Drosophila melanogaster: one gene and its partners. The protein of the gene in region 2 interacts with the protein of the main gene of each other region in a pairwise test. Each region holds a gene or a part of one and is shown on either strand. Other genes may lie near its edges.

Region 1 (3,613 bases), 5.7 Mb from region 2:
TATTATTGTTGCTGGGGGTCCAGAGCAAGGATTATAAATTATAACAGCCTCACACGGTTATTTATGTCATGTCAATGGGAAGGGGTGTCACACGGAAGGGGATATATCATCAATGCATGCGCTTAGTTGAGTGGAAATAGCTGCGAAATAAAACTATGCATTCGGGACTGGCTTTAAAGTGGAGCAGGCCGAGATGAAAGGGACTTAAATCGCAGCCAGCCCCAGGATCCCATCGCACCGCACCACAGCGCAGCGCGCTAAGCCAGAGATCTGCTTTGAAGCTTTTGATTTATTTGCTTGATGGCAAATCATTAATTTGCTTTGAGCCAGAGCAAAAAGAAAGCACGAAGCTTAGCATGCTTTTCAGCTGCTGTCAGATTTTCGGGCGACAAACAACCACCGCACGAGCAAAAAGGCAGCCGAAAGAAGCAAATTTAAATAAAACGCAAACCAACAAAATAATCCGACACATGCGCTGCCAAATGATTACCCAGGACTTGGCCCCAAAACCCCCACCTAATCCTATGTGCAATGTCTTTCCCTTCGCTCTGCGGGGTTCAGTGTGTTTTTGCAACATAAAAAACCAAACAATCACTTCATTTTATTGCGCCAAACGAGAAAGCCCAAAGCTGACACTTTTCCAGTCGCAAAAAAGGTCTCAATCATTAAACGGAATTGAAGGATCATATCGATTTTGTTGCTTAGAAGGGTACAAAGCCTGGTTGGATTCGAGAAGGTACTTTCCTCGATTCTCGATTTTAAGATCCCCAGTCATATCCGAGTGGGGATCCAACTGAGTGTTGATTTAATTAATCATCGGATCTATCGGTTTTGCGCAGCCAGTGGGCATTGCTGCTTTCACATCTCTTTGCTTTTGGTTCGGATGGATCAGTGGTTAATAGGAGGGGGTCAGAAATGTCCTTTCGCTTCCAGATTCCCTGCTTGTATTCCGGACCGTACTTGTCTTTCATACGCTGTTCAAGCTCGTACAATTTTAATGGTGTCCGTTTAGCCACTGTATGCTGCTCGAGGTCAGACTTGGTCAGAGGTCAGGGGCTATAGGTCCACGCACAAAACTTACCATACTCCGCACATATTTGTACACCCCATAGCCGATGCAGGCCAGAATTAAGGGAACTACCACAAACAGCCCCACGTTTAAACTATTCAGCTCGGGATCGCTGACCACGTGGGTGACATCGACGGTTTCCAGGGCAAAGGGTGGGTAAAAGAAGCGAATGATCTTATAAGTGGCATTGGCCAAAGTATGTTTTGGAAAAGGCTTCACGATGTCCACAAACCTCAACGACCAGTGCGAGTCCGGCGGCGGTACCGTTATATCCATATTTTTAAAAAAATGTATATAGAGAATGTTAAACCAAAAAAAACAGCAACGTCGAATTTTAGATTGTTCTAAAGCGACTTCTACTTGGTACTGGACAAGCAGCACTCTAAAAATGACTGATCCATCAAGGGCAACTCAATTAGGCCCGGTATTCGTGAAAACCCTTTAGCCAGACATAAATCATCGCCTACTTGGGAGCCCCGGAATGGCGTCATTGATTTATTAGCAGGACATACGCTCGAATCGATGCTGCTGGTGAAAAACTAGCGACAGAAGTGGCGGTGGAAAATGAAGCTAAAGTGGGAGCTGAGCAAAACCAGCCAAACCATCATCAGTCACCAGGCAAACAAACACGACGAGGACCCAAAGCGCAACGGCGTCATATACAAAAAGTGCTTGCATACATTACCCCGGAACCCATGAGCCGGAATAGATGTGGGGCGAAGGACCAGGGTCGCAGGACACGGTGTGCGCGGCAGAGGAAAGGACGCGTGCTTACTGCCAGAAACACGTACAAGAAATCATGAAATGTTGCCGCCATCATACCGAAAATTGTACGGGTAACGTGCAAGCAATCAAAGTACATGGAGGCAGGACTAGGCAGGACTCGACTCGAATCGACTGCGGCAACTAGAGCGCCTCGACATTGCCAAGGCCTGTGTGCTCCTCGAGCAGCGCCCACACGTCTGATTTTTACTACACACGTGTGCTGATGTGACGTCGACAGGATTGTGACTGCCTACTGACAACACTAGTGGGCCTTCTCCTTCTTTTGGCCTTCTGGGTCCTAGACTCCAACTGAGCATCTGGTTCAGACCAAGACCGAAACCGAAACCAGTCTGGCCGAAATGTAAAGTATAGTTGACGCAGACGTGCCAAGCTCGACGTGGCTGTCGTAGATGCTGCTTTTTGCTGTTTAAGTAAGCATGCAAATGTCACATGTAGACGGTAGTCGGTACTCGGTAGTTGGCGGTATCGGCAGGAGGGGATCAAGGGGAAGTGGGCGTGATAAGCACTCTCAGTTATGAAGGTGGGCATTGCTTGGTTTTCGGGCTCGCCGTTTCTTGCCCCTGCCACACATAAATGATGAGGTACACGTTGCCTCAGGCTGAATTTAGTGATTTCCCCGAGCATGTGGCATACTTTTTATGCGGCTCCTCCACGTGAGCATAAGGAGCTTCGGTTTATGGTTATTGATTCAGCCGAGCGGAGGTGGAGATAGTTTGAGTTATGGCCTCGGTCTGATTTGTGTCAGCAGGAAGTTTAAAAGAAATTGTTGCGCACTTTCGGGAGGCCAAAAGTGGATTACTCAGAGGGTTGCAGGCAGGTCCCCTGATTGAATTGGCTTAGCTGGGGGCGTACGGAACGAGATTGGATTGGATGGGGATGGGGACTTGCAATCAAAAGCCTAGTTTGTTGCTGCCTTCGCCAACCTCATCGTATTGGCAAAAGGTGGCAACCCTCGATCCACTCATTGTTCGATCAAAAATTCATGGCATACCCGTACGTTGGAGAGGTGCCAATAACTCGGCTGCTCCACTGACAATCGCCACTGTCTGTCTGCCCGTACGCAATTTACAATTACCGCACGCACACACAATTTATTTTGCAGCGCTAACAAATAAGCTAAACATTTTCGTGGCCAAGGGCCGTCCCGCTCCCAGGTGTATAGCAAATCAAAAAATCAGACAGGGCTGGGCACGAAGACACGCCAGGCAATCAGTTAAATGTTTGTTGAACTCACCAGCGTCGAGGTCCTTAAGTTCTCAAGAACGCACGACTCGCCGGTTTCGAGGAGTCCCAGGGGCTTCGCTTCTCCGCTCTCGATGCGCTCCTGCCCTTTTCCGAAAATTGAACTTGTTGGCGCCCAGAACGCAGAGCCCCGAAACCGCACCGAACAAAAAAGACGGAGAAGCAGCTCCGCAGAACGATGAAGCGGCAACTTGAAAAATCGCTTGTCGCACTGCAAGCGAAGTGACGGGGAACGCTCACGCGCAGTCGTAGTGATTTGGCTTTAAAAAAGCAAGGAACATTCCGGAGTTCCGGGGCAGGAAGCAGACAGCAAAAGACGCTATGAAAGCTGCCACGTAATGAAACTGACAATTTAACTCACAGTCAACCAGTTGTTTTGGATTTCAGTACGGGTTCGACGGGGAGCTGTGTGCGTGCTGAAAAATCGTGTTATCGATTTAATGCGTTACGATATATAAGTATATACAACCCTAGTGTGTGTGCAGATTGAAGGGTTGGGCTGGGTTGGTTTGGTTT
Region 2 (3,450 bases):
AACTGCGCCGGCGGCGTCGGAGCCTCTGTCAAGGCTGTGAATGCCAGCTACTCGGACGCTGGTCTGTTCGGTTTTGTGGTCTCCGCCGACTCCAAGGACATTGGCAAGACCGTGGAGTTCCTGGTGCGCGGCCTGAAGTCGGCTTCGGTGTCTGATAAGGATGTGGCCAGAGGCAAGGCTCTTCTGAAGGCGCGCATCATCTCGCGCTACTCGTCGGACGGTGGTCTAATTAAGGAGATCGGTCGCCAGGCGGCGCTCACCCGGAACGTGCTGGAGGCGGACGCCCTGCTTGGCGCAATCGATGGCATCTCGCAGTCGCAGGTCCAGGAGGCGGCCAAGAAGGTGGGCAGCTCCAAGCTGGCCGTCGGCGCCATCGGGCACCTGGCGAACGTGCCCTACGCCTCCGATTTGGCTTAAGTATATAAACACCTGTACATCTGTTAACCGTAATGTAACGACTAAATAAACCTGATCAAGGGGATCGATCCGCGAACGTAAATACTTATAAATCCTACTTTAATTGGTGTATACATAAATAATCAAACTTTGGGTTAACAGATAGACATTCCACGCAGGTCATAGTATAAAGTAGTATAACAACTGGAATGGATCGTGGGAGCTAGACGAAGACCACGACAATGATGGCGACGAACAAGGCTATGATGACGAGCCAGTAGCCCCAGGTACTGTCCCGCCGGTTAACCTGTCCAATGCTCTGTGTTTCCCGCTGCACACCCGTTTCCACACGGTCCATGGCATTGGCCAAGTTGTCAAGGATATCTACAAGGAGGTAGGGATTAGCATTGGTAGTGCAGGGACTGGGGAATACCCACTGTTCTGGTCCTCCACCTCGTTGCCCAGCTGTGTGGCCAGTTGGCGCTGTCTGGACAATGTGGCTGATAGAACCTCGAGTCCTTCGTTCTGCTGCGCCAGCATCTCGGTCTTTTTCTGCTTCAGAGCCTCCACATCCAAGGCGGTATTCCGCGAGGAATTGCTGTGACCTGGGCCGAGATCCTGATCCTGCCAAGCAGAACCGGATGCGGCCGGGACATTGGAGCGGCTACTGTTTGCGAACTTCTCGCGGATCTCGCGCAGCTGCGAAGTAAGTCTATCCCAGTCGATGCGCCGCTGTTGCAGCTCCTCCTCCGGGCTCGTCTCCCAGGTGATGGCGTTGTCCAGCACCACCTTGAGGTGCTTCATGTCCTTGGCCAGCTGCTCTATTCCCGTCTGAATGCTGCTTGTCAGTTGGACGAACTGGCTCGTCCTCGGATTGAGCTGCTGCCGCTGGTTGAGGTATACCAGCAGCTGATGCCGCAGTCGCTCGCAGCCCTCGTACTCGATGTCCCAGGAATCGTGATCCACCAGCGCCATTTCTCTGCTTTTGCTATGAGTAATTATCAAAAGCAGAAAACTACGCCTCCAGCAATCCAAGTAACAAAAACAAAAACAATAGCCGAGCAACAGCTGATGGCTGGTAGCAAAATAAGTAAGCGCGAGTACGGTCACATTGCCAGTAAGAAGGGATTCGGAAATAATCTTCAATGTTTGAACTGATTTAGATATTATACTTATGTAGCTGTAGATAAGCTGGAAAAATGCACCGCGATTAATCCCCAATCCTTTATCAATTCACCTCGCAGGTGCGTTGCTAGTGTGAACTATTTACTAAATAATTTAAGCTGGTCACTCGAAAATCGTCACTATGATGTGAAGTATGATTATTCGGCCCGAATTCCTGAAACTACTCACAAAAATTAAGAAATGCTTTCCAAATTGCTTCCAATTCTGATTCTGCAAGGTGGCCGAAGAACGTATTCCTTGTGCTCGAGAGATTACACCATCCCCACAAGTAACCACACCCTAACTGGTCAAATTTTAAAGGTTCCAAACCTAAATTCGCAGGAAAGATGTTTTGGTACGCACATTGTTGTCCGGCATAAGAGAGGTCGGTTCTACACCGACATTGGCGAGCTCCGGGCTGTATTGGTATACTCCATCAGGGACGGTGTGATGACCATCAACAGCACCAACGTCCCGGAGGAACTGGGCGGACATGGCATTGGGAAGCTACTGGCCAAGTCGGCACTGGACTACGCACTGTTGAATGGGCACTTCATTATTATAAGGTGTCGGTTTGTCCAGCACTACATCGACAAGTATGAGCCGCAATACGCCAAGTACATATTAAATTAGGGAACCGAAAACAAAACTTCAAAATTGTCGACACAATCAAACTGAACACAAATAAATCCCCCCACTATGCACATAGACACCATACATATAAACGTATATTTGCGTTCAGATTTGTTGAATTCCTTCGGTTTTTGAAAAATTACATGAAAATAATTTGAATTGGCTTATTTTTAAATTATTTCAAAATTTCTAAACCGAAAGGTAACAGATTATATTTAATGACGAAATTACGGTTTCTTATATAAGCTATTTTGTTATGCTTCTAAAAACAAATGTTTTATTACCTCTTTAAAATATGTAAACTAGTTTTCACAATATATTTTAAAAAATTGTTAATTTCCATATATACCACCTTGCATTGTGTGACCACCCTGAAATTAGCAAAGGGCGTTGCCAGACTCCGGCCACCCACGCACATACGATAGTTGGGACCGGCCCGGCGCGGTGGACAAAGTCACGGTATCGATATGGTGACACGATTCACCCACACATGCATGCATTGGGCTACGATGGCTGTGACACAAGGTGTGAAGAAATCACTGGGTTACAATGAGCGCTATTTATAAATATTTTGGAAGTATGCTGCAGGATTTCATAAAAGTAGTATGCAATTGGTATGCTTGATTCATATTGTTTAAAATTTGCTGTGCTACGTCAATTTTGTACTTGAAAAATATGGAGTCGTGACATGCCGCCAAAGCGGTGACTTGTCACGGTGAAATAATCGCGACTAGTAGCAGGTACGCAACTATCGCCCATCGCTAGCTCACACGTACACACAATTTATTTAGTCGTGATTTCTATTTTATTTGTTTCAAATTACAACCAAGAAGGAAACAAATCGCGACCAAAATCCGCTGGCCACAATGCCGAGTGCCTGTACAAGCGTGCGCGAGCATTCCCACTAATCGGAAGCGAGCGCATCCGCCGTTTTGAGCGTTTTCCGCGCGGGAGTGGGAAATCGAAAAGGCAAGGCAAGCCATCGGTCCGCTGCAAAATAGGGATAAATAGGATATAGTAACGTAGTTCAGCACACAATCGGGGGGCCAGCATGGAGCGGCGCGTGAAGCTGAAGACGATCAATCCGCACATAACGTGCAAGATCTGCGGCGGCTACTTCATCGATGCCACCACGGTGACGGAGTGTCTGCACACATGTGAGTTGGTCCGGCATGGAACACTACCTGCCCAATAACGTCAGTGTTTGTTGCAATTACAGTTTGCAAGAGTTGCCTGGTGAAGCACCTGGAGGAGAAG
Region 3 (3,833 bases), on a different chromosome or scaffold from region 2:
GATCGTTTGTTTGCTATTGAGTGTGGAAAAGGCCTCCAGCTAAATACGCGCGATCGACTGCGAGTGGGCTGCGCAGTCGGCGTCGCAGCTGGACACCATGGCGTATGATTGCTCTAGCTATATGCTGCTGCTGCTTTCCAGCACAAGCAAGCAGTGCGAAGCTTGCTGAAAAACGCCAACTGCCAGCTGCTCAGTCGACGCTGCGTTCTTACGCCGGTGATGTGAGCTTTTGATAGCGTTATCAAGCAACTAAGTTCACTTTGATATGCGCTTTATTTCAAGCAGCGCAAACAGCTCGCAGCCGGCAAGCAGTGTAAAGCAGTGGACAGTGGAGTTTGGGAACGGGTTTTTGTTGATATCAATAAAAAACACGCTCATCATGATTCACCGAGTTCTTTCAATAACGCCAACGAAATATTTGATATTTCACAAGATTAGAGGCTGAATCTATCAATTTAAACTTTGATTATCTCATTAAATCCATGACAGGTGCATCACTTCTAAAACAACTTTGCTATTTACATTAGTTAAACAAATAAAGTCTAATATAAAACCCATACTTACGGACACAATAGTCACGCAGTCCCGAGTAAACAATTAAAAACCCAAAGTTCCCATATTTGGACACATGGAAGTCATGCAAACTGTGCAATTATAAGTTCGAATAAATATGACAGTCATACCTGTTTGCCTAATATTTCCGCCAATTATCAGAACACCTCAGATGCTGAGGTTGGTAGTGAAACCTAAAAAAAAAAAACACTTCAATTGGTCTCAAGTGGCGCTCCCCAACTGATAAAACAAATCAAAACTGATAGGAAGAGCAAGAGATAGACCAAATTAAATAATTAAAAGCGTGCTATAAAATAAATCAACAGATGACAAAATCCGTGGCAAGCGAGTGATTGTCAATTGAAAAACATCCATAAAATTTAAGTGGCGCGCCCTTTTTGATAAGAGCGTATCAAGAGGGAAGCGGGGATTAATGGCACTGTTTACACTTACCTTCAAGGTTGCGGTGATTGGAAAACTTACCCGTAAGATTCCTGGCTGGATTTTCATGGCACTCACTTCAGATAGCATTGCTTATCATCCACGACCAGCGGTACGTCACTTATCGAAAGCTTTATCGCGATGACGGATTCGGATTTCCTTGTGGCCTTGACACTCAAATCACTCGCCGACTTGCACCCAAAGCATTAGCATTAGCGGCGGAACACATTTGAAGTTCGATAATAAATTATGAACATAGACATAGAAACTATGTGTGCCAGCGATCGAGGTAGAAGCAATTTAGCTCGCTAGATTAATAAATAAATTCAATGAAACCGCAACGAATCAAAGACGCGAATAGAAGCGATTGATGTTTTCGAGAGTTGCTTATCGAGCAGCCATCGTAAACTCACGCGCATGTGACACAGTGTTCGATCCACTTTGGACTTTATATACTCATATACCATATTATTATTATTAATATTATTATTATTATATTATTTACTGGTCCAGGCCAGACTAGCTTGATTTATGGACACTTCGTTTCTGTCTAGCCGCGTCGGGAGTCACCGAAAATTGGTTAAACGGCCTGCGAAAATGCAAAATAAATAAACAAATGCGGCGGCATTTGTGTTTTCTTGTATTTGCAGTGCGGTTCTCGATGCCGCAGCCAAAAATAAATGTTGGCTTTCTGTTTTTGCTGCCTGGTAAGAGAGGGGGGGGGGGCTGGCAACGCTTATGCGCACGTGACGCATACTCAACGTGGCACCGAAAGTGTGTCAGAAATGGGTATACGAAATAGTTTTGTAATAAATAGCAAATGATGTCGCACCTTCTGCACGTTTGTTTGCCACTCGGTGGCTCTTCGCTGCTCATCTTCATTTGATGACCGATTTCCGCGGACTGCGGCTGTTGCACTGGCATTTCCCTCCTCGATTCCTCACTTCAACTCCAATTGTTTGGTCGCTACTTTATTCGCCTTTTCTCTCCACTTGTAAAGCACTTGACGCGGCGTAGCAACTAATTGAATTGCCCGTTTGCAATGGTAATTTTCATGAATCGACTGACTGACTGACTGACTATAGCTATACTACGGCTATAGCTGACTGGCGGAGAGTAAACGATGTCGATGTCGATGTCGCCGCTTAACAAAACCGAAGAGCAAAAGCCAAAGCGCCCATCAAAATCAAATATCGCGCAAAAAAAAAAGGCATGCCATAAAATCGAGGCAGCAAAAACCGTAAGTGCCATTAGACACGATACCCAATCACCAGGTGGGTATATACCCCAAACGAATGCGATGCGCGTCAATCTAGATAGTGCCGAGGGTCTGATCAACGACTTCCTTAGCCATATAGCCGAACTACACAAGTGGAATTTTACCCGACCGAATTGAAATTGATAATGAACTAGCATTGGAGCATTGGAGGATGAGTAAGCCTTAAATACTCCACACAAAAAGATTACCCACAAAACGGCTTGAGATACAAAAAATGTTCGACTATTTCTGCTTTTTCATTACAAATACTTTCCTGTCAATAACTGACAGTGAAAACTGATGGTTACGTTGCGAAGGGATCATGCTACTTTGGACATCCATTAAAAATGTCTGCGTGGTATCCGCTTGGTCGAGTACATAAATTTTCCACTTGCCCTCGTGTTTTTTCGACTTTTGTTTTGATTCGACAGGTTTTCGGTGAACTATTACGTAGAGGGTCATCACAAATTGAAGTGATCTCTTTGAGGTTTTTTTTTTTTTTTGGGCAACCCATTTAATTGCTGCCGCAATTGCTTGCCATTGTTTCGCACAGTGTATGCTAGTTGGAGTTTATCACTCGTGTATGTACATGTATGGATTTATACAAAAAAGCCTTATAAATCCCCCATAGCAATTCCACATTGACGCAAAGATCGGCTTTTTATTTGATTAGTTTCATTCGCGTGCAATATGATGGGGTTGTTTTAGTGCTCTGCAATGGGGGCGGTTCTTTTTTTATCCACTATATTGGAGGCCCGCTTCGATATCACTTATCGGAAAGCAATTTATTGAGCGGACGAGTATTGCTCGGGTTGTAAAAACAAATGATAACCGTTTGTTCTGTGAGTAGACTGTAAATAGATAGCTGAAATGAGCTTACTGTGTTTATGAATTCATAAACGAATTTTATGGGAGTATAGGACTTCTGTTACTACCGTTACAAGGGTTTGCGATTGCCTGCAAGATACTTTCAAAAGATACTGCATACTTTACGGATGCTCTTCTAATGGGTGCATACTTTTGGGCATTTTTCTGATTTTCTATTTCTTTTCAACTCTTTTGCGAAAGTGCTTATTCTAGGTTCTCCTTAACGAATCATATTTTATAAATTTATTTTTGAAAATTCATTCAGCAAAGGTTCCAAAAACAAACGCAGCTCTTAAGATGTATTTATGGCGCCACTGAAAGCTTTTCAAGCTTTCGCTTGCATTTCCTAACGACCAGCTTTTTATACCCTTAAAAGGGGGTATTACGGAATTAGTAAGAGCTTTACAAAGCAGTGGTAGAAAAATGTTCTTCTTATAATTAACTAATTGTTTGTAATAAAATGTACATCTTCATTTGTTAAAGGATGTGATATATGAACCCCAGTGGTGGAAGTAGCTACTGGGGTGGGTTGTTTTTTTAGGGATCATAAATAATAATAATACCTCCGTTTCTAATTATAAAATTCTTAGATTGGATATATACCAAATATAACCAAATGGTAAGCGATTAAAAAGAAATGAGGCATTATGTTTTTATATAAATGAATATGCAGTATATTTACATATATCTTAATTACTTCAGCCATAATTTGATA

The links.
Region 1: the proteins of Syx8 (region 2) and CG32450 interact in a two-hybrid assay, tested with the Drosophila melanogaster proteins (one large-scale study listed by BioGRID).
Region 3: the proteins of Syx8 (region 2) and Eglp2 interact in a two-hybrid assay, tested with the Drosophila melanogaster proteins (one large-scale study listed by BioGRID).

What each region holds. Positions count from the first base shown.
Region 1 is NT_037436.4:22,327,626-22,331,238, reverse strand, and holds CG32450 (uncharacterized protein), read right to left. Parts: upstream 1,462-3,613; 5' UTR 1,346-1,461; coding exon 1,082-1,345; intron 1,023-1,081; coding exon 810-1,022; 3' UTR 582-809; downstream 1-581.
Region 2 is NT_037436.4:16,585,608-16,589,057, forward strand, and holds Syx8 (syntaxin 8), read right to left. Parts: upstream 1,451-3,450; 5' UTR 1,372-1,450; coding exon 834-1,371; intron 781-833; coding exon 620-780; 3' UTR 501-619; downstream 1-500. Other genes in the region: UQCR-C2 (Ubiquinol-cytochrome c reductase core protein 2), read left to right, coding at 1-417; CG32163 (uncharacterized protein), read left to right, coding at 1,762-2,193; l(3)73Ah (lethal (3) 73Ah), read left to right, coding at 3,245-3,350, 3,413-3,450.
Region 3 is NT_033778.4:23,614,686-23,618,518, forward strand, and holds the start of Eglp2 (entomoglyceroporin 2), read right to left. Parts: upstream 2,070-3,833; 5' UTR 1,918-2,069; coding exon 1,826-1,917; intron 26-1,825; exon of another isoform or gene 1-25.